4 linked regions of the Schizosaccharomyces pombe genome follow. Changing the gene in region 1 together with any one later gene gives a genetic interaction. Each region holds a gene or a part of one and is shown on either strand. Other genes may lie near its edges. The genes, in order: SPOM_SPCC4F11.03C, utp16, psy2 and rnh202.

Region 1 (4,049 bases):
GGTTTTCTTTCGCCACCTCGGTGCGAAATCTAAAAAGTGTATTGAGAAAAAAAATTGTGGGGAAACCGACTTGTATTGATTAAGGAGACGCGGGCATGCATGTATGTCTTTCCTTTAATGTGAGAAGGGCTTAAAGTTAAAATACTTTCTTAAAGGCAACTGCAACAGTTGAAATCGATTAATGCGCCGCTTACTACAACAAAAAAAAAATTCGCAGTTTAAAAATCTTTAAGAAATCATATTCACATTACAGTCTGTGATTGTGGAAACTTATTTTTTCAAAGATCCATCAAAAAAGATTAAACCGTTTTACATGGCTGTTATTTACCAAATTTTCCTTACATCAAGCCTTTCAAAATATCACTCTTTTTATGTTTACAAAATGTTAGTTTTGGTCAATTTCTTCTCGTATGATTTTATATAGACGCCTTCAAGATTCAGTGTAAACGAAAAAAATAATAGCATGATTTTTTTTATCGTCATGGTGATGCCTGAACACAAAGACAGAGTGGCTTTTATTTATTATTTTATCAAGCAAAACTCCTTTAATAATAGCAATCACTTCAAAATTTCGCATCATCTGAAGCCTTTGTTTACTATTCTGAAGTCTTGAAAGGGTAATATCTTTCTTCCACTTTGAATAAACATAAAAGTAAAAAAAAAAGTTCCTCTGTTTTTCTCTTTTGAAAAACAAAACGTTTTTCTTGATTCATCCTTATAAAATTGCATTTAGTACTGTCACGAGCATTTGAAGCTTTCTAAGGATTACTTACTCCCTAGTTGTTTAGATTAGCATTTCCATTTTCGTTTTCTCTTTCTTCAGAACAGTCTCCATTAGAATTGGACTATAGTTCGTTGCTAACAAGTTCGTCTCTCCATTCATTACTGTATACATTACACTCTATCGTTTTTCGGATTGCAAGTGCAAACCTTCTAAATCTTTTTAAAAATACTTTTGCCCCTTCTGCTGTTAACCCATTGTTGATATTAGAAAACTGTTAGGATGGTGAAAGTCATATATAAATTTGCAGTTTTTGCTGCCGTCAACTTTTTCTTGATGAGTTCCATCGTTCTTTACTTCAACAATGAATTCTTGATGTTTGCAGACAGATGTACCAAGGACATCATTCCTTCCGAAGAACTAAGATATTTACGCCAAGTTCTTAATGATTCAATTCCTTCCAAAGATGAACCGTTGCCAACTTTGAAACTTGATTCCTTGAACGATATTTCAGGGGAACCTGTTATTCCAAAAATCATTCATCAAACCTGGAAAACCACAGAAGTGCCTGAAGGATGGAAAGGTGCTCAACAGAGCTGCATAGATTTACACCCAGATTACGAATACATCCTTTGGACTGATGAAATGTCTCGTAATTTCATTGCTGATAACTATCCTTGGTTTTTGCCATACTTCGATGCTTACCCTTTCAATGTTCAACGAGCGGATGTTATTCGGTACTTCGTTCTTTATCATTATGGAGGAAATTACATTGATTTGGACGATGGATGTCGTCAACGGTTAGATAGTCTTCTCTATTATCCCGTATGGGTTCGCAGGACCGACCCTGTAGGCGTTTCCAACGATGTTATGGGAAGTGTTCCTCATCATCCATACTTCGAACTGATCATTCAAAACCTCGAAAAAAATGCGAAGTCATATTGGCTTCCCTACTTGACTATCATGTTGAGTACCGGTCCCCTTTCAATCAGCTTTCTCTGGGAAAAGTACAAAAGACAACTACCCAACCCACCCGCATTTTACGACCACATTCGTGTTTTACTTGAAAGGGATTACAAGTTTTCCAACGACTCTTATTTCACCTTTTATGAAGGATCGTCATGGCATAATAACGATGCAGGCATTATCCTTTGGGCTAACCGTCACCTTGCATATGTAATCGTTGCAGGATTTTGTCTTTACTTTATCCTTAGCTATATGTTTTTCTCCAAGCTGTTGGACAGCCGTTATGTCCAAAGATTTGTCACATCGAAACGTAAACAACCTACACTTCCTCTTGCTCTTCAAGAAGACGTCTAACTTTGTGCATTGTACGTTTCCGTAAAATATGCGTCTTCTTTCCTAAAGATGATATTTCAAAGCTCTAGTGTGAACAGGCAACTTCGTTTCAATTTATATTGAATGGTTACACGAATGAGCATCCCCTTTTCCGTTCTACTATTAGGAATTCAATGAACATTTGCTATTGCTTGTTATACTGTGATTACGAGACGGTGCATAGAGAATTGCGTTGAAACTCGTTAAGGAACTATGAAATCTTACCACATATAGAGGAGCCTCAACCTTCACCACCAAACACAAGCTACGTACGCGAACGCGAATTCTAGGGCAGAGTTCGCTGGTTCACAAAAGTTTGAACATCCTATTTAACTAAAAGGTTGTTCAGATCTATTCAGCTTTGTGATTGCATAGAACTCCCATTGTTTGTTATTCCTTCCATGGATGCGGAAGGTGAACAAAAGTCCAATGGAGTAAAAGAACCTAATACGCCCCTTCGTGAAGCACTGGATGAAATATTTTTAAATGTAGGGTATTTGCTTCGTTCCCTTTTGGCTAATGTTCCCAATGCTCTTTACCATAGTCAGTTGCAGGCGGCATGTCAAAAATTCCAGGATTATTGCGATTTGGAAGAAATACGCATTATTGAAGCAAAACGTGTTGTTGAGCGCGATTTAAGATCTTTGGAAGCAAAAGAGGTAGAGGAGAAATCTCAGTTCGCGTCTTTCGTGAGCGCTACTCCACCTGGAGCAAACAGTCTTCAAGGCAATGTATCTTTGCCCTCGGGCAATAACTTTTTCACTTCCTCTTTTGATTCTGAGAACATTTCGAAACCGGGAGAGGTTTCTTTAAGCGAAAGTCAGTTACTGGGTAACTTGAACCAACAATCATCAATCCAGCTTCCTGATAGGATGCCAAAAACAACTAATGGGACTTTAGCAGATCCAAATATGCCACCTAAGACAACTGTAAATGATCAAGACGTAACAAAGGATGCATCTCAGCAATTTGGAGGCTCAAACTTTTCTAATTATTTAAGAGACAACGATTCCTTCCAATTTGGAATGAATACGGATGCATCGGGAGATGCTCATCTGCAGGCCAGTGAGTTTTTATTACCGAATCTATTTGGAAATTCTTCTACCTCTCCGCAAGACAACTTTGGTACTTCCAATTCAGCTCTTTCCCGTAATTTGGATTTGTTTGGCTCCCCATCTTCTGAAAATAAAAGTACTGCAGGATCGGCTTCTTTGTTTCCTAACCAGCAAATGGGAATTGACTTGCAAGCACAAGAAAACTACAGTGCTGCGTTCGGTAATGATGGCAGCTTTGCTTCGCATTTAACTAATACGTTTGACAACGCTCTAAATCTTCCTACAGACATTCCAACCACTGAAAGCATAAATGACTTGTTTGGTGAGAACTTTGACTTCACCATGACAAAATGAGTTGAGTTGACTTCAGTTCAGCTATGTATGATCGGTTTAACGTGGTTGTTTCAATTTGTCAATGTTTTTTTCATGTATTATTATCTATTACTATAGTCATTCATTTCCAGATCATTCAACAAAAAACCTATAAACGGTAATTATAAAAAACAATTGCATGTCTTTATCCGGTGAGTATCATTTGATTGTATTGCTCTGCACCTTTATGTATGAAAACTAGAGTTGAGACAGTAAGTAGAAAAGCGTTGTCTTTTTCCTATGTTTAGGCCAATGCTAAAATCTCGAATACTTGGTACAATTAGTGTATGTATATATATTTTTACGTGCAAATGGTATTTTAGCAGGAACGGGACAAAATAAAGACAACCCGTAACTTCAGAATAATAATTATAATTCGACTTTTAAATCGAAAATTAAAGACGATAAAAGGGTAAAATAAATTTTTTTTGGTGAACGTATAGCCTTTGTTATAAACACCAATGCATGCACGCAAGTACATTCATAATATTTGCGAAGCAATTGTAAATAAAAATACCGAAAACACTCACGAAGAACCTTAAAAAGAGTGAAATGTTTGTACC
Region 2 (4,123 bases), on another chromosome or scaffold:
TGCAAAGTTTTTTTGTTCAAAGCCAATTGCACGCATTCATGGTTGACAAAATCAACATATGCGGTGCCTTTGCGACGAGCAAACTCAATAGCCTTGACTGGTCCAAAAATGCTCATAGCAGATTTCAATGACACATCAGATGTTTCGGGAGGAATGTTCTTGACGAATACAGATGTCTCCAACAGTTCATTACTCTGAGTGTACGGCGCTGTTGGCTGCTGAGTTTGGTCAGCATTAACACCTTTAACTGTTTGACCAGTTGTAGACGCAGTAGAACTAACTGATGCTTGGGATTTCACATCAGGATGATTACGAGCTATGAGATCAGCCCAAGATTTAGGTGCTGTAGCAACATTTGCATCGCTAGCCCCTATAGCATCAGCATTCTTCGAGTTTGAAGTCAGAGCTTCATCTTGAAGCTGATTTTCCTGCTGAGAAACAAAACTTGGGACTGAGGCTTCCGTAACTTGGATAACGGGTTCTTCAGGAACAGCCAAAGTAGCTTGATTTAGACTGTCGGTCTCATTTGATATAAGAGCGGCTGTGGCAAAATTATTTTCTGTAGCAGCTGGATCCTGGTAATGGCCTTCTTCTTTTGCAGAAGGTAAATGTTCTTGAGATTGCACGCCATTTACGTAAGGTTCAGAAGCAACATCTTTTTTCTCTTTTTCAACAGCATCAGGTGACTCCTCTTCTTCCTCAACATCTTCACGCAAAAAACGGAAAATATCGTTTAAAACAAAATAACCATTTGGTTGTTCTGCAAGGAAAAATGTTTGAGCAAATTTTCTGGATAATTTCCCCTTATTAGACATTTCACCCAGGACCTGGATGACAATGCCACCATTCGAAGAAGCCAAACTGTCAACGTTTGAAATAAGTACTTTGCAATTTTGAAAGTCCAAGTCCAATATCTTGTTATGAATTTCCTAACACGTTAATAAAATGACTATTGGGCAAGACAACGATCATAGAGTTTCGAAAATCGCAAGCAGAATATCACAACCTCAAAAACTTTACATATAAGAATTGTGTTAAAGCATACCTGTTGTCCATGACAAAGACTAATACTCTCGCCTTCGTCTCCGTGAATTAAAGTTGACTTTTTAGTATAGAAACACTGTATTACAGTTAGTACGGTTCACAAGTTGAAGAAAAAAAAACTTTTGGTAAATTATGACGACCTACATGAAGACGATTGGGTTCTTTATTTAAATATGTATAATATTCTTGAACGAACATCCATCCTATCTCATCCTTTCCCAAAACTGGTTCTAATAATGTGGCATTTTCCGCAGTCATGTTTTATTTAACTGTGACAATAGCTATACAAAGAACAGAAAATCTGGCTCTAAAAGACCCAAAACAAAATTCGGTCGTGTCTTATGTTTTCCGTGCGTTGGTCTTTTTAATGTCCCATCTCCTTGCTTTCAATGTCCGTGATTACAGCATTTCGTAATTGGATTTAACGAGACTAAACGATATTTCTGTTGATCTTTTACATTCAACTTGTTCGCATAAGTAAGTTAGTTGATGGAAAGAGAGACCTTTTGGTCAGAAAATTGTTTGGTTTTTCATTTCAACAAATAACATAAACATCATATGATTTACCATAGATCAAAGTTGCATATATTTCTTTCTATTATTGTTTTGCAAATTGATTATATTAGAAACGTTAATTCATTGGAAACCACTAAACATTTTGAATAGTAATACGACTATATACTGTGCTAGAGAGATTAACCTGCTAATGATTTTGCCAAAAGTCAATTAGTTTAACAGCTTTAAATGCAATCGTCTAGAAAAATTATGATACTAAAAAGAAAGTATGCGAGCCTTTAAATCATTTAATTAACGAAAATTGAAATTACTTTCTTCTTCTTATTTACCAGCATTAAAGGGTTAAAATCTAGTGCTATAATTGCAACGTATCTTACTTTAAATAAATTATTTATTGATAAATTTTGTAAGACTCAGGAAAGTACCTATCCTATCCATTTTGTTCACTGCCATTTTGGTGGCATTAAGAAGTTTCACTCGCATTGCCAGTTATCCTCCTCCTACACCAATTCAGGTCAAAAAAGTTTCAAATCCTTTAATAGTCTTCGTTTTATAGTATTAAAATCCAAAACTTGTCTGTTAAGGTATAAACTTCTGATAAAGACATTTTGTTGCATTACTTATTCGAAAATTGAAAATTTGTCAAATACTAGAATGGCAAGATTGACTGCCCCAAGCAAAGGTCCTTCATTTTCAAATTTAAACAAACCAAATGATTTGTTGAAAGCGGAAATTGAAGATAATGAAGCCTCACACTACTCTCAAAATCAATCATCTGACAGTGATTCTGATGAAGCACCTGAAGAAGTTTCGCTGAAGAGCAGCAGCGATGAGGTAAAAAAGAGACTTCAACGTCTGAAAGGGAATGAATTACAGTAAGTTTTAATAAACGGAATGAGGGAAACACTTAAAAATACTATTTGTTTTGGTTTGAGACAGAATAATAATTTGTTTGATAAAAGTTCGACTGCTCATTTCGTTTCCTTGCTTTTGATAGTATTATTTTTAACACATTTTAGGCTTCGAAAAGCTGAAAGAGAAAAACGTAGACTGCAAAATGAAAGAAATCGTGAAAGAAATGCCCAACGGGTAAGCGCATCAAAGTTGGATTTGGCTATTCTTGAGGCAGCTGAAGTTGAAGAAATTAATAGTACCACGGAAATCGAAGAAAAGGTTGACGAAGCAAGCCTTGACCTATATACTCCAAAAGGACATAAAATTGTTTTTCCTAATAACGAAATTCCTAAAAAACGTACTCGTTCATTTCGTAAAGGTGATTTTAAAGTGAGCGTTCTTAAAGAAACAAATGACCCTTTACTAGCGCCGAACTATGAAAAGAAACTGTCACAGCGTAAACGGGATTGGATAAATCGACAATCAGTTCCCCGGGCGTCTAAAAGACGACGTCCCTTGACTTATTAATTTTCCTTTCTCTATTTGGCAACACATTCGCTGTAAATTGAAAGTCAGGCACAAGCATTGCATTTTCTGTTAATATAAGGGTTTACTTTTTTGTTTATTAATAATATTGGTTGGGAAAAGGTTGTCTGGGTTCTAAAACATTCATTATTTGAAGCTTTGGACATGCTAAGTGCAGTTTACGGCTGTTTTTTTGGTAAATGTTTAACATAGTATTTTTAAAAATAAACACTTTAGACAAACATGAGTTAATTAAAGTTGTATCAAGGATTTATTGCCATGCACTAGAGGAAATTCGCTCATGTAACGTTTCGTACATCATAGATATTATAGATATCAGTAGCTATAGCTCATAAGGCCAAAATTTGCATAAATATATTATTAATTGTCTAGTGTATGAACATTTACTACTTATAATTATAAAATATTTGCATATAAATTTCTGAGATGGTTTGTACTTTCGACTACTTGCACTAGGCAAACTTCGCTTTTTAGCACCACAAAAATTTTGTCACTTCAAAGCATTGTTGACCTTCACCTCTGCAGCCATGTCGGCCCAGGATGTCGAAAACGCAGTAGAAGCAGCATTAGATCCTTCTGTAGGACCAATAATAAAGCAACAAGCTACAGATTTTATTGGTAGCCTTAGAAGCTCATCTACAGGTTGGAAAATATGCCATGAAATTTTTAGTGAAAAAACGAAATATAAACCATCAACAAGACTGATTTGCCTTCAAACTCTTAGTGAGAAAGTTAGAGAATGGAACAATGAAAGCAATTTGTTAGAGTTACAGATGATAAGAGACAGTGTTTGGTCTTATATTAAGGAATTAAGCTTTTTGGATGAACCAGCTTATATTAGTAATGCTGTACAACATTTATTGACATTATTGTTTCTTCAACTATATCCAAGCAACTGGAATGATTTTTTTGCTTCACTCCAAGGCGTTATTGCGGCGTCGTCTCAATCTGAGTTTTCAAATTTTTATTTGAAGGTTTTACTTTCCATCGGCGATGAGATTGCTGATTCATTGGTTTTAAAGACAGATGTTCAAATTCAAAAAGATAATTTAGTAAAAGATGCAATTAGGGCAAATGATATGTCTGATATCGTTTCATTCGTCTATGAAATGATGTTGGCCTA
Region 3 (5,781 bases), on another chromosome or scaffold:
CGATTCAAACAATATGCGCCATCCCCTTACCGGCGGTGGTATGACTGTTTGCTTTCACGATGCCTATCTTCTTTCCCGATTCATTTCCCCTTCCGCTGTTCCCGATCTTCTAGACTACGAGCGCATTTTAAACCAAATGAACAAATTCCATTGGAAGCGTAAGGGTTACAGTTTTGTAATCAACGTTCTTTCCATTGCTTTGTACAAATTGTTTACCCCTAAAAATCGCTATATGAAGGCTCTTGAATCGGGCTGTATCGATTACTTCAAGCGTGGAGGTAATTGTGTTGAAGGTCCCATTCGTTTATTAGGCGGTTTAGACCATAGCCCTTCTCATCTTATCGGCCACTTCTATGCCGTCTGTCTCTATGGTATTTACCAATATGTCTTGTCTGGTCCTGCTTTGCTTATGCCCGTCCGTATCATCGAATCCTTATTGATTTTCTTACAAGCTTCGCTAGTAATTATCCCTTATATCCTTAGCGAAATGTCATCCTAAGTTTGCAGAATCAGTTCATTAAAATTAAATTATTTTTGATTTATGAATTGGTTGATTATGATTGTCTTGGCAATCACTGATAGCTATTTGGTTTTTGCCTTGTTTGGTACGTCGTTGTTTTTAAAGAAATAGTTTTAGATAGAGTTGGGTTCAAGTTTGTAATGACTTCACACTCTTTTTGTTTATTATATAAATCCCTCTGTTTTTCAAGAGTTATAAATTGCCGTTTTAATATAAAATACTTTTTTTTAATTTTTAAGCCTACTAAGTACAATTATTCGTCAGCGTTAAGTAAACAATTATCCCGAGACTACAAGACCACGATAGTAACATGAAAATTGGTATTTATTATTTTAAAAGTCCCTTAATGAACAACCCAAATCGTTTATATTATACAGATGAGTTTTCAAAACAATGATAAACCCGGGAACAAAAATACGATGTCCATATGATGATTCACTTGCATTACAATCTTCTAGAGTTTTTGGAGCTTCCCTTTTTATGTTCATCTTCTAGGAAGCGTAGCCATTCTGGGCAGAACTTGAATCGATAGAGAGTCTCTTTTTTGGTGATTCATCATCAGCTTGCTGATCATCAACTTGGAAATCCGATTTCCTTTTAGAATAACGGGTGTTTGAAACATTAATACCTGAAGATTCTGCAGAGGTATCATAAACTGCAGACTCAAGGAAATAACGATCCTCTAATATAGGTTGCTTTGGCTGCTCGCAACTGTCTTCAATATTTAGCTCAGCAGGGGCTATAGAATCAAGAACAGTACGTTGTCCAACTTTTTCTGATAATTCAGTATCGTTTTCAATAGAAAAATCTTGCTGTATTTCCCAATCTTTGGATACGTCGTCTCCAACACGTTGGTTATTATTGGAGGCACCGTCAAATTCATAACTATTTGATTCATGAGTCCCAACAGTTTTAGGGCTTCTTGAGTCAGAGCTTAAGCCATCTATTATATTTAAAAGCTCAGAAAAAGTACTGAGATTATTTAAAGATTCCAGCTGTGGTCGATAGTTTTTATTGAGATAATCCAGTGTATCTTCAGATCCCTCGGATCTTAAAAATTCAAAAAACTCTAAAGCAGCTGAGTTGACTAAATTAGTTTGGTCTTTGACCTTTAACATCAAGTCCAGAACTTTTCCGTATGTGTCAGTTTCTAACATGATCAAGGACATTTCTGACTGACGAGCGGCCAAACAAGAGCGAATAAATCTAAGGGCGCTCAAAACAACATATTTTCTATCGCTGTATAGTAATAGAGCCACTTTTGATGTAAGGGTTTTATATGTATCAAAACGACGAGACCAATAATCGTGTATACGAAAAAAATAACAAAAAAGCTCACACAAATGCATATACATATCAAGCTTTTTAACATCTAAACTCGATACATTTTCCAGCTCCAATAAAGGAGCAGCAAGCATATTAAAAGAGTTATCATAAAAATTTTCAATAAAATTAATTCCAATAATGTTATCGGTTTTATTTCGAACATTTCCATCAGCATTTCTGTAAGGATTATTGTATGCATAGCTACCAGGTAAACTTAGTAGCATTTTAAAAGCTTCAGAAATTTGAGCAAGTACTCCAGGATTTGATTCTTTATGCAAAATGTTAATTAAATTGGAAAGCAACGAATGTTGGGAAACGTGAGCATTGCTCAATGAAGAAGAAGCGTCCTTGCGATCTTGATCAAACTTTTGCCAAACGATGGCAGGTTCATGATCAATAATAGACACCAAAATATCGGAACCAGCATTTCGAACGGAATTGTTCTCATGTGACATTGCATAATCCAAAGCTTTCAGAAGATTAAATTTAACGAAAGTAGCAAATAATGCAGAGCAGGACTGGAATTGTAGCCCTTTAGCGATGTTGCAAACCTGCTGAATAAAGAATATACCGTCTTGCTTGCGTTGATCATCCTCGCCTTCATTCACATAAATGCTAAACAGTTCATGTAAAAATTTTTCATTTGTTTGAAGGTATTGAATAATATCAGCCTGGTTAAAGAAGATAAATGAATTTAGCACCGAAAAGGAGGGTTCGTCAACAATCCTTGAAACGACAACATCCCTTAGATACTGAAGCTTAAATGTCTGGTGAATTTTTGCAAGAATCCGTGGATCCTGAATGGGAACCACCTGCTTAAACTTTTTGGAATCCATTAAATATTCCCGATGGTTCGCTTTGATATTGGGGAATTCCGGATCGTATTCGAGAATACCAGCTACACACATTAGCTTTTCATCATTAGAGAACAACGATTCGAGTAAAGGGGCGTCGTTCAATTGCACTGACAGCGATTAGCAAGGATTTAACGAATCTAAAAAGTATAAAGTAGATTAACATACCAAAGCTTTTTATTATGGAACACAATCGATGAAGGTCATCTGTATTCTCTAGATCCTCACACAGAGGAAAAAGTTCAATAAGTCTATCAATATAATTTTCATTTGAAACATAACGAACCAAACTATCTCTTGATTGAATAGACTGCATATATCCATATACTGCTTCTTCAATTTCTTTTAAATTAGCAAGCTCTGGGGCTGGAAGATCGACCGTGTTTAGGTAGTTTTCATTAAGCGCCCCCTCATCCGTCAATATATCATCGTTGGAGTAACTTCTAGTTACCGATGATATTGCCTTTTGAACATTTGCTAAAAACATCCACATGTCTATACAACCGCTAGATTCTTGAAAGCTTAAAGCAAGATCAGTACCATTCAATTCTTGCCAGACTATGAGAGTTTCTTCTTGACGGCTGTATATATCTTCCGCAATCAATTGTGTTTTCAAAAGGATGGTTTCATTATCAGCTTCTGAACGCACAATGAAATAAGCCAACGGTCCCTCTATTTTTCCATCGCAATAACCGGTGCCACAGTCTACCCAGTTTTCATCTTCCATTTCGTACACTTTTACACGTCTGGGAATCGATGGCACTTCGATCTTCTGCAATGCAGCTGCAATTGCTTCGTCTAATTCCTCTTCTTCATTTTCTCCATCTGAAATTTCATCAATATTATTATTTAAATCTTCCTCTTCCTTCGTAGAATCCATTTCTACGGCGGATTAAGGGTAGACGTCAGCTTCGAATTTACGACGTTGGCGTTCGTCACCAAATTTTCAAAAGTGAAGACGAAATTCAAACGTGGTGGTGAATGAATGCAATACCGTAGATTGCACCAAGATTGTAATTATTAATAAATGTATTTCTCATTAAATGGCAATGCCGCTTTACTTAATTATTTGGTTTGCCTAAAATATAACAAATAGATTTGTTAAGCAGTGTACTATGTATATTTCACGTGCATAATTTTGAAGTGTTATGGCAGAATTATGTTCTTTATAGAGTCAAATAACTATTATATACGTGATCGTGGTGCTTTCAGTCACTATTTTTCATTGTAATTCGGTATCTGTTTACAACAATATCATTAACGGACGTTATGCATTTTAACGATGAGTACTTCACCGCTCGGTGTATATGCTGTAATCAATCCTTATATCGAGTTGTGTTTTAAACGTTTTATACTGTCTACAATTAGCATTTAAATCTTTTCGAAATAGTAAATAAACTAAATATGAATATAAATAAAGTTAATTATTGTCTAAACACATGTGTAGCCTCGTCAAATCAATTTTTTGCAAGTCAATCATGAGGCTCAGGGTACATTTGTAAAGTAATAGTTAATTTTTAAGTACAAACTAATGGTATTTATACCGATATATATATTGAAAGCTGCTAAAGCTTCGCTAGATATTCAAGTACTCTAGCAAATGCATCAATATAAATACAGTTTTTTTGCTTTTACTAAGTTTTATTGTTAAAGCGTAATACGAGAAATTTGCCAAATGAGAACACGAATTGAATTGATATAATTCCAGAAATAAAAATTATGTATTCAAGACGATGACTGTTGCGATATGCATGCTTACGAGTTTATCGATATATAAAAGACAAAGAGAGTTGAGCTTACCAAAACATATACTGATCCTTCATGGAGAAAAAACAAGATAACGAGGTGGAATTATATTCAATTGATTTAAAAAATAGAAATGAAAGTGCAAAAATAAAGCTTGCTTATGCGAAAGCGTTAGAGGAAAGCATTCTTTGTGAAACACGAAAAATCGAACAAGAAATTAAAGACCAAGTGGTTCAAAAGGAAAATAAAACATATTTTAATAACAAATTTGATAATCGATATAAATTACGCGACTTGGAAAAAAATTTAGCGGAGGAGGAGGTGAGAATTACGGAGATGCTTACTATTCAACGTCAAGACATTGCAATTGAAAGAAGGAAGAACACAAATTGCTTCAGTGAGTCTTCTCAAGTAGATCAATATTCAGTTACTGAAACCAATCTACAATATGCTACTAACATTGGCTTAAACCTTCTGCAACAGTTGCGGTATTTAAGGCTGCAACTGTCAGAGAAAGAAGATTTGCATAAAAAGTTGTCAGTGGATAATGCCCATTTAATCAAGCAACTTGATCTACTTTCTTCAAACATGAAAACACTTATGAAAGAGAAGACTAAGGTGCAAGGACAAAGGGATTTGCTTGAACAAAGACTACAAGGATTAATGAAAAAATTGACAGAAGTAGAGTCTTTGACCGTTTCACTTAACGATGAGAAGAACAAACTGACATTGGAATTAACAAATTTAAGAATTTGCCTTCACGAGCTTCAACTGAATGCCGAAAAAGGCGAAACTATAGATGAAAGTGAAGATTCTAAAAATACTTTGGTAACTGAGGATGAAAACGACGATTCTGTATTTTTGGAGTCTTCCTCGGATAAGTATTTTGATAGTTCATCTTTTGATGCGGAGCAAGAAGAGAAACACGATTTTCCAATAGATCCTTTTTTGTCGTTGGAATCCAATGTACAAACTTCGGTATCTCAATCATCGGCCGTTCTCAAATCCATCAATTTAGCAAAACAGGAGTTAGTGAGTGTAAATCATTTGGTAGCTGACGATACTAAAACACCGTCTCCAAATTTATCATCGGAAATAATTGAAAACACAAAAGCTGACATAAAGAAATCAATCAGGTCTCTGAACAAGGCAGTATCACCAGAAAACTCTATAGACATCGAAGATGAAACCGACAGAGATGATGAGTTTATTTGCTTCCTTTTGTCTTATCAGCAACTACAAAAGGCGCTGAAAAGTAACTTGGGCCTTTTTCAGCTTTCTTGCTTGTACCCACTTTCTCTGAATCATCTTATTCAGTCATTCTTTCAATCTCTC
Region 4 (5,180 bases), on another chromosome or scaffold:
GGCTCTTTCTTTGGGAATGTTCATCTTTCTAAATTTTTCATTATAAACGTCCACCATGTCTTGGGAAACGTCTATGCCAACAATTTGTTTACAGTAAGGGAACAGGTGTTGGCTAATTAAACCAGTTCCACAAGCAAAATCCAATATACTCATACCACTTTTCTTCCAAAAATTATTTACATTTGTCAAATCATCATCCGAAGTTAAAAGCAGCCTATCTTGATCATATTTTGGGAGATCATGTCTTAGGCTGGTTTCGGAATTGTCTTCAAACTGTAAAATTTTTGAAGAAATCACTTTGGAAATCGCCAAGGTACTTGGATTGTCATATTTCGATGCTTCTATTTTGTTGTAATGAGACACGTTGGCATAAACTATATCCGACATGATATTTTAGTTCCTTTTATATTGTTAATGAACGGTGAAGTCTTGCTAATAGGAATATTAAAAAAAAAGATAATCAAGGACTATCTTTAAATGGTTATGACTGAAAATTTATGTCACAAGGTACCACGATTATGAAAGATTAGCACAATTTCCCTTTTTATGATTAATATAACTAAAACTTATTAAGCGAGAATTTGTTTAGAACTATTATTGGATGTTAGACAGAAAAGAGCCTGTTAATATAGAAACTTCAGTAGCTTCTTATTTTAACTAAATTATTGTATTCGACAGATTAGGATTCCTGTGACCGTCCTTTTGCTTTTGTATAACGCTCATTTTTGTATTACCCTAATACCCGAATTTTGTAAATAAGCTTGGACTTTTTATATACTACTGGAAACCGCTGCGCATAATTTAAGAAGCTAAATTGGGTTTCGTTCCAACACACTATTTGCATTGAATTGTAAAGTATTGTTTACATGAATCGTTTTGAGTAAATCCCTAGGTAGGGTGTTAAATGAAGCAATTAAGCATGATTCAAGATATTCGTTAAAAAGTACGAATCATTTGGCCTAAATTGTTAGTCTAGCTGACTTGCTGCATGGCTCTCAAAGTGGCCCGCAAGAAAGGCTCCATAAATTGCTCAGATCACTGTAAGTATTTACTGTTAAGTAAAAATACAAAAAGGAGCTTCGCTAATGAAACAGTAATTTGGAAGTTGATCTATTCATGTCACAAAAAATGCGGTAGCAATGTAATAATGTTATAACCCATTTTGAGACTTACACCGAAAGAATGTACACGAGGAAGATTCATTCATCAATGGTTTAAATAACACATCAACCACCTTTGAGGTACTTGCAAGCAAGGAAGGTCATATTCGTTCGCTTTTAGTTACTTCACTAATTTTCAACTAATGTACTTCACGTTTTTCATTACTTTACAATCAACGTAGTAGAACATGTAGACTTAGTCTTGTTCACCATTATACACTCTTTATGTATAACGTCCGCAACCAGTTTTTTTTCATTAAAAAAAAAAAAATTCGATGTGATAAACAGTTAGTATAGTCAATCTAGCAATTATTAAGATGAGAAAATACTCAATGTCTATTTTATTAGTTTATTAAGGATATCTATACTTTGGCTTTTCAATTTAACCAATGCTGTTTTTTTTTGGTACTTGAAGCCGCAAGCTTTCTATTCAATTCACTACCGTGGTTTACCATTGAATTTCTCATAACTAAGATTGCCGCTCTTGACTTCAACATCGACTGTTATATTTCTTTTTTAAGAATATGCATTTCATTTTTTTGTACTGCTTTCTTATAAAGATGGAGTTCTTGACTAACAACGTGTCTTGAACAGACAACAAAAAGTCGGTACGAATCTCCTCTTACTTCAGCCATCTTTTATATCAACTTCATGATTATCTTAAGAGGAACAATCAATTTTATATGCTTAATTTCTTTCGTATATGTACAACTAGAGTCGTCACTGTTTTAAATTTTGATATACCCAAATCGTTGTCAATACTTTTACAAAATACTCATCTTTAGCTGAAAGTTACACAACGAAATCTTTCTAATTAAAAAATTGTGTTTGCAAGTACTCAGAGTTGTTTTCAATTGATATCTTTGCATTTTTTACTTTTGTTGCAAATAGTGGTACGAAGTTTCAGACGTGATTGCCTCACAAATTTTGGGGTTTCATAATTTAAACTTAAAAAATGCAGGGAAAGATATTCATACTACCCAAAGATTCTACAAATCAACAATTTGTTGAACTCTCACATCCCTTGACCGGGAGACCACTTCGTTATTTATTAACAAACGATCACCTTTTACAAATCCTTCAAGTTGGGGATTCTTCAAAACAAAGGTCTTGGTTTGTAGGGGATCATGTAGTATCGGACGGATATCTCTATGTTTGCACCCCGATAGACTTACTCGCGCTTGTGCTTCCAATCATTCAGGAACTTACTTGGAGTCGCCGGAAAGAACCGAATCGATATGTCTCGTTTGAAGACTTCATTGAACACTTTGATAATATGGGTCCTCATTATCCACGAGTGTCAGAAGTCCTCTCTCCGAATTTGTTGAACACATTACATCGGATTTGTAAAGTAAACGAGCCAGTAGGATCTTTGCCCAAGACCTTTCAACTGGATGAATCTTCTGTTGTTAAAATTTTACTAAGGAAAGCCAAGGTTGCTCAAGAAAATCTTCCCCCTAGTATTGTAACCGAACTTAAAAAACAGTTAGCGCCTTTGGACCTCCGCACGCCGCTTCCACAAGATTTACTAGAATTGTCATGCAAGTGGCATGCCGCTTCATTGGTTTGTGAAGATCTTCAACCTGAATGGTATAACAAATTAGCCTACTGGCAGGAAGAATTGGCCCCACTGCACGCTTACACTAAAAACTTAGAAGAATCAAGAAAGATTTTGGTAGAAAAGGAAGCTTTGTTAAATTCTAAAAAACGTCCACAAAACAGTGATATTACATCAAGTCTTTTAAAAAAGCCCAATCGGAAGCAGGCCACCAAGAAGTCCAAATACTTCTCAGGAGAAGGAATGACGAAAATATCTTCATTCTTTACAAAAAAGTAAGATCACCGAGGTATGATTTTGCTTTTATTTTTTTCTTAGCATAGTACCCTTAATTTTTTTGGCATGTTTACAAGATATTGTCAATTGCTGTAAAAGTGGAATTCTTCTTTCTTGAGCAATGTTTCAAGAAAGCCAATAAGAGCGGTAATGTTGAAGTTCACCAATACTTTCAAGAATATCCGACAATGCGCGATGATCACCCTTTTTATCATAAGCAGGAATATCCGGGCACCAGCGTTTGGCTAATTCCTTAATAGTAGAAACATCGATAATTCTGTAATGCAAATGTTCGATTATCTTTGGCATCTCGACAGATAAAAACCTTACGTCTGCATGGACACTGTTTCCAGCGATTAACGCTTCTCGTTTTTTTGGAATGTATTTTTTAATGTATGCTAACAACTGGTTTTCAACGTCTTTCACTGTTAAATTACTCTGTCTACATCTTTCCGTAAGACCACTTTTCCCATGTTGCTGTTTATTAGTATAATTAGAAAATTGACATCCGTGAATGAACTAAAAGCAAGAAAAGATACCTCAATACACCAGTCATTCATTTCACTCAATTGCTTTTCGTCGAGTTTAATAACAGCATCAAATTTCTACGCCTTAGTTAGTATGACAGCCTTAATAAACGCTCAACTTCGAAACCATGCATTTGTTTCTCTTGAAACATCTCAAGTTAAAAGCCGATGTTTCAATGTTCACAATTAAAAGTTACCTCTTCAACGGGGCGAAGATTTCCATCAGTAATGATTGCCGCGACCTCCATCAATACATGCTTTCCCACCTCTAACCCGGTCATCTCTTCAATCATATTAGTACAAGTTACCTATAAAACCATCGTAATGCATTTTAAAAGCTAAGATTATACTAAAGCTCACTAACCGCAATCAATCCAAACAAGGGGCTGCTTTAAATTCGACATTTTGAGGTTGGAGAATGGACTTTTCAATTTTGAGATGAAATCTTTATATTAGTAAAAGTTTAAAAACTGAGGTACACATCGACAAAAAGAAACTTAAACATGTAAATTGTAGAAATGATAACTTGATAGACTGAATCTAAACATACTCGTATTCGTTGATAAGTCTTGCTGGAAAATGGGTTTGGAAATTTGACAAATATTTTTGCGATATGTTGGCTGCAAGAAGCGCGAATGCAACGAGCTAGTGCGTTTGCTATACAAGCGTTTTTTAATGTGATATGACTGCAAAATGATTCTATTATTTAAGAATGCACCTTGCATATGAAAATACGGTATTATTACTTAATGAAAGTACTTCGTTGTAAGTTGGATTTTAATATCCGGGATTTTTTAAAATTAAAAACTTAGCTATCGATTGATTTTTGCAATGAAAACTAGTAATAGTATGTTTATTTAAACGTTTTGAAACAGTGTTTGTATTCCAAAGACAGCATTACCTAACCCCTTAATCAGGCAGGAATAGAGGGAAGTGATGCACATGACACTTCCGTAACTAAAGCACCACTAAAAACATCCGTTCCAACACCATCCACCTCTTTTCTCAATAACGGCTTGAATAGTTGTAATTTCAAGGTTTGTATAGGAGATCTTTGTGATTCAATCTAATTCATAAAAGTATTTAAACAGGAATCGCTTACAACCTAGTTTTTTGCATTCGATAGCGGAAAACGGAGACATCATATTTGACAAATCTCCAGCACAAATCGTTCAAAGATAATGAGTGGACAAAACAATGTAGTCGGTGTCCACTACAAAGTTGGAAGAAGAATTGGCGAAGGCTCGTTTGGTGTTATTTTTGAAGGGACGAATTTGTTGAATAATCAACAAGTAGCCATTAAATTTGTAAGTGAGAATCCATTTGATGCCATGCTTTGAAGCTGGATATTTTTCTTGTTTCCTTCATTACTGATTGATTTTGCTTATAGGAACCAAGACGCAGTGATGCTCCTCAATTACGTGATGAATACCGTACTTACAAGTTGCTGGCAGGATGTACGGGTATTCCGAATGTTTATTATTTTGGCCAAGAAGGGTTACATAACATTTTGGTGATTGACCTTCTTGGGCCAAGTTTAGAAGATTTGCTCGATCTCTGCGGCCGTAAATTTAGTGTAAAAACAGTTGCTATGGCCGCAAAACAGATGTTGGCAAGAGTGCAATCTATCCATGAGAAGAGTCTCGTTTATCGAGACAT

What was found.
Region 2: mutations in SPOM_SPCC4F11.03C (region 1) and utp16 together harm fitness more than expected from each alone (negative genetic interaction), as found in Schizosaccharomyces pombe (one large-scale study listed by BioGRID).
Region 3: mutations in SPOM_SPCC4F11.03C (region 1) and psy2 together harm fitness less than expected from each alone (positive genetic interaction), as found in Schizosaccharomyces pombe (one large-scale study listed by BioGRID).
Region 4: mutations in SPOM_SPCC4F11.03C (region 1) and rnh202 together harm fitness more than expected from each alone (negative genetic interaction), as found in Schizosaccharomyces pombe (one large-scale study listed by BioGRID).

Annotation. Positions count from the first base shown.
Region 1 is NC_003421.2:2,006,151-2,010,199, reverse strand, and holds SPOM_SPCC4F11.03C (uncharacterized protein), read left to right. Parts: upstream 1-2,460; coding exon 2,461-3,468; 3' UTR 3,469-3,549; downstream 3,550-4,049. Other genes in the region: mannosyltransferase Imt2, read left to right, coding at 1,004-2,041.
Region 2 is NC_003423.3:3,649,486-3,653,608, reverse strand, and holds utp16 (U3 snoRNP-associated protein Utp16), read left to right. Parts: upstream 1-1,788; coding exon 1,789-1,826; intron 1,827-1,871; exon of another isoform or gene 1,872-1,892; coding exon 1,893-2,435; exon of another isoform or gene 2,436-2,579; coding exon 2,580-2,982; 3' UTR 2,983-3,248; downstream 3,249-4,123. Other genes in the region: ubiquitin protease cofactor Nxt3, read right to left, coding at 1-929, 1,046-1,120, 1,189-1,302; karyopherin exportin-T Los1, read left to right, coding at 3,528-4,123. UniProt on the Schizosaccharomyces pombe protein: Functions as part of the small subunit (SSU) processome, first precursor of the small eukaryotic ribosomal subunit that coordinates the first two steps of ribosome biogenesis in transcription of the primary transcript pre-RNA and pre-18S processing.
Region 3 is NC_003423.3:893,554-899,334, forward strand, and holds psy2 (serine/threonine protein phosphatase PP4 regulatory subunit 3 Psy2), read right to left. Parts: upstream 3,862-5,781; 5' UTR 3,581-3,861; coding exon 2,869-3,580; intron 2,811-2,868; coding exon 1,012-2,810; 3' UTR 819-1,011; downstream 1-818. Other genes in the region: squalene monooxygenase Erg1, read left to right, coding at 1-499; dynein-anchoring factor Num1, read left to right, coding at 4,522-5,781.
Region 4 is NC_003423.3:4,072,657-4,077,836, reverse strand, and holds rnh202 (ribonuclease H2 complex subunit), read left to right. Parts: upstream 1-1,741; 5' UTR 1,742-2,115; coding exon 2,116-2,997; 3' UTR 2,998-3,120; coding exon of another isoform or gene 3,121-3,471; 3' UTR 3,472-3,533; coding exon of another isoform or gene 3,534-3,599; 3' UTR 3,600-3,718; coding exon of another isoform or gene 3,719-3,804; 3' UTR 3,805-3,885; coding exon of another isoform or gene 3,886-3,966; 3' UTR 3,967-4,071; downstream 4,072-5,180. Other genes in the region: SPOM_SPBC1347.09 (hexaprenyldihydroxybenzoate methyltransferase), read right to left, coding at 1-387; rex2 (RNA exonuclease), read right to left, coding at 3,121-3,471, 3,534-3,599, 3,719-3,804, 3,886-3,966, 4,072-4,246; serine/threonine protein kinase (CK1 family) Cki1, read left to right, coding at 4,703-4,828, 4,912-5,180.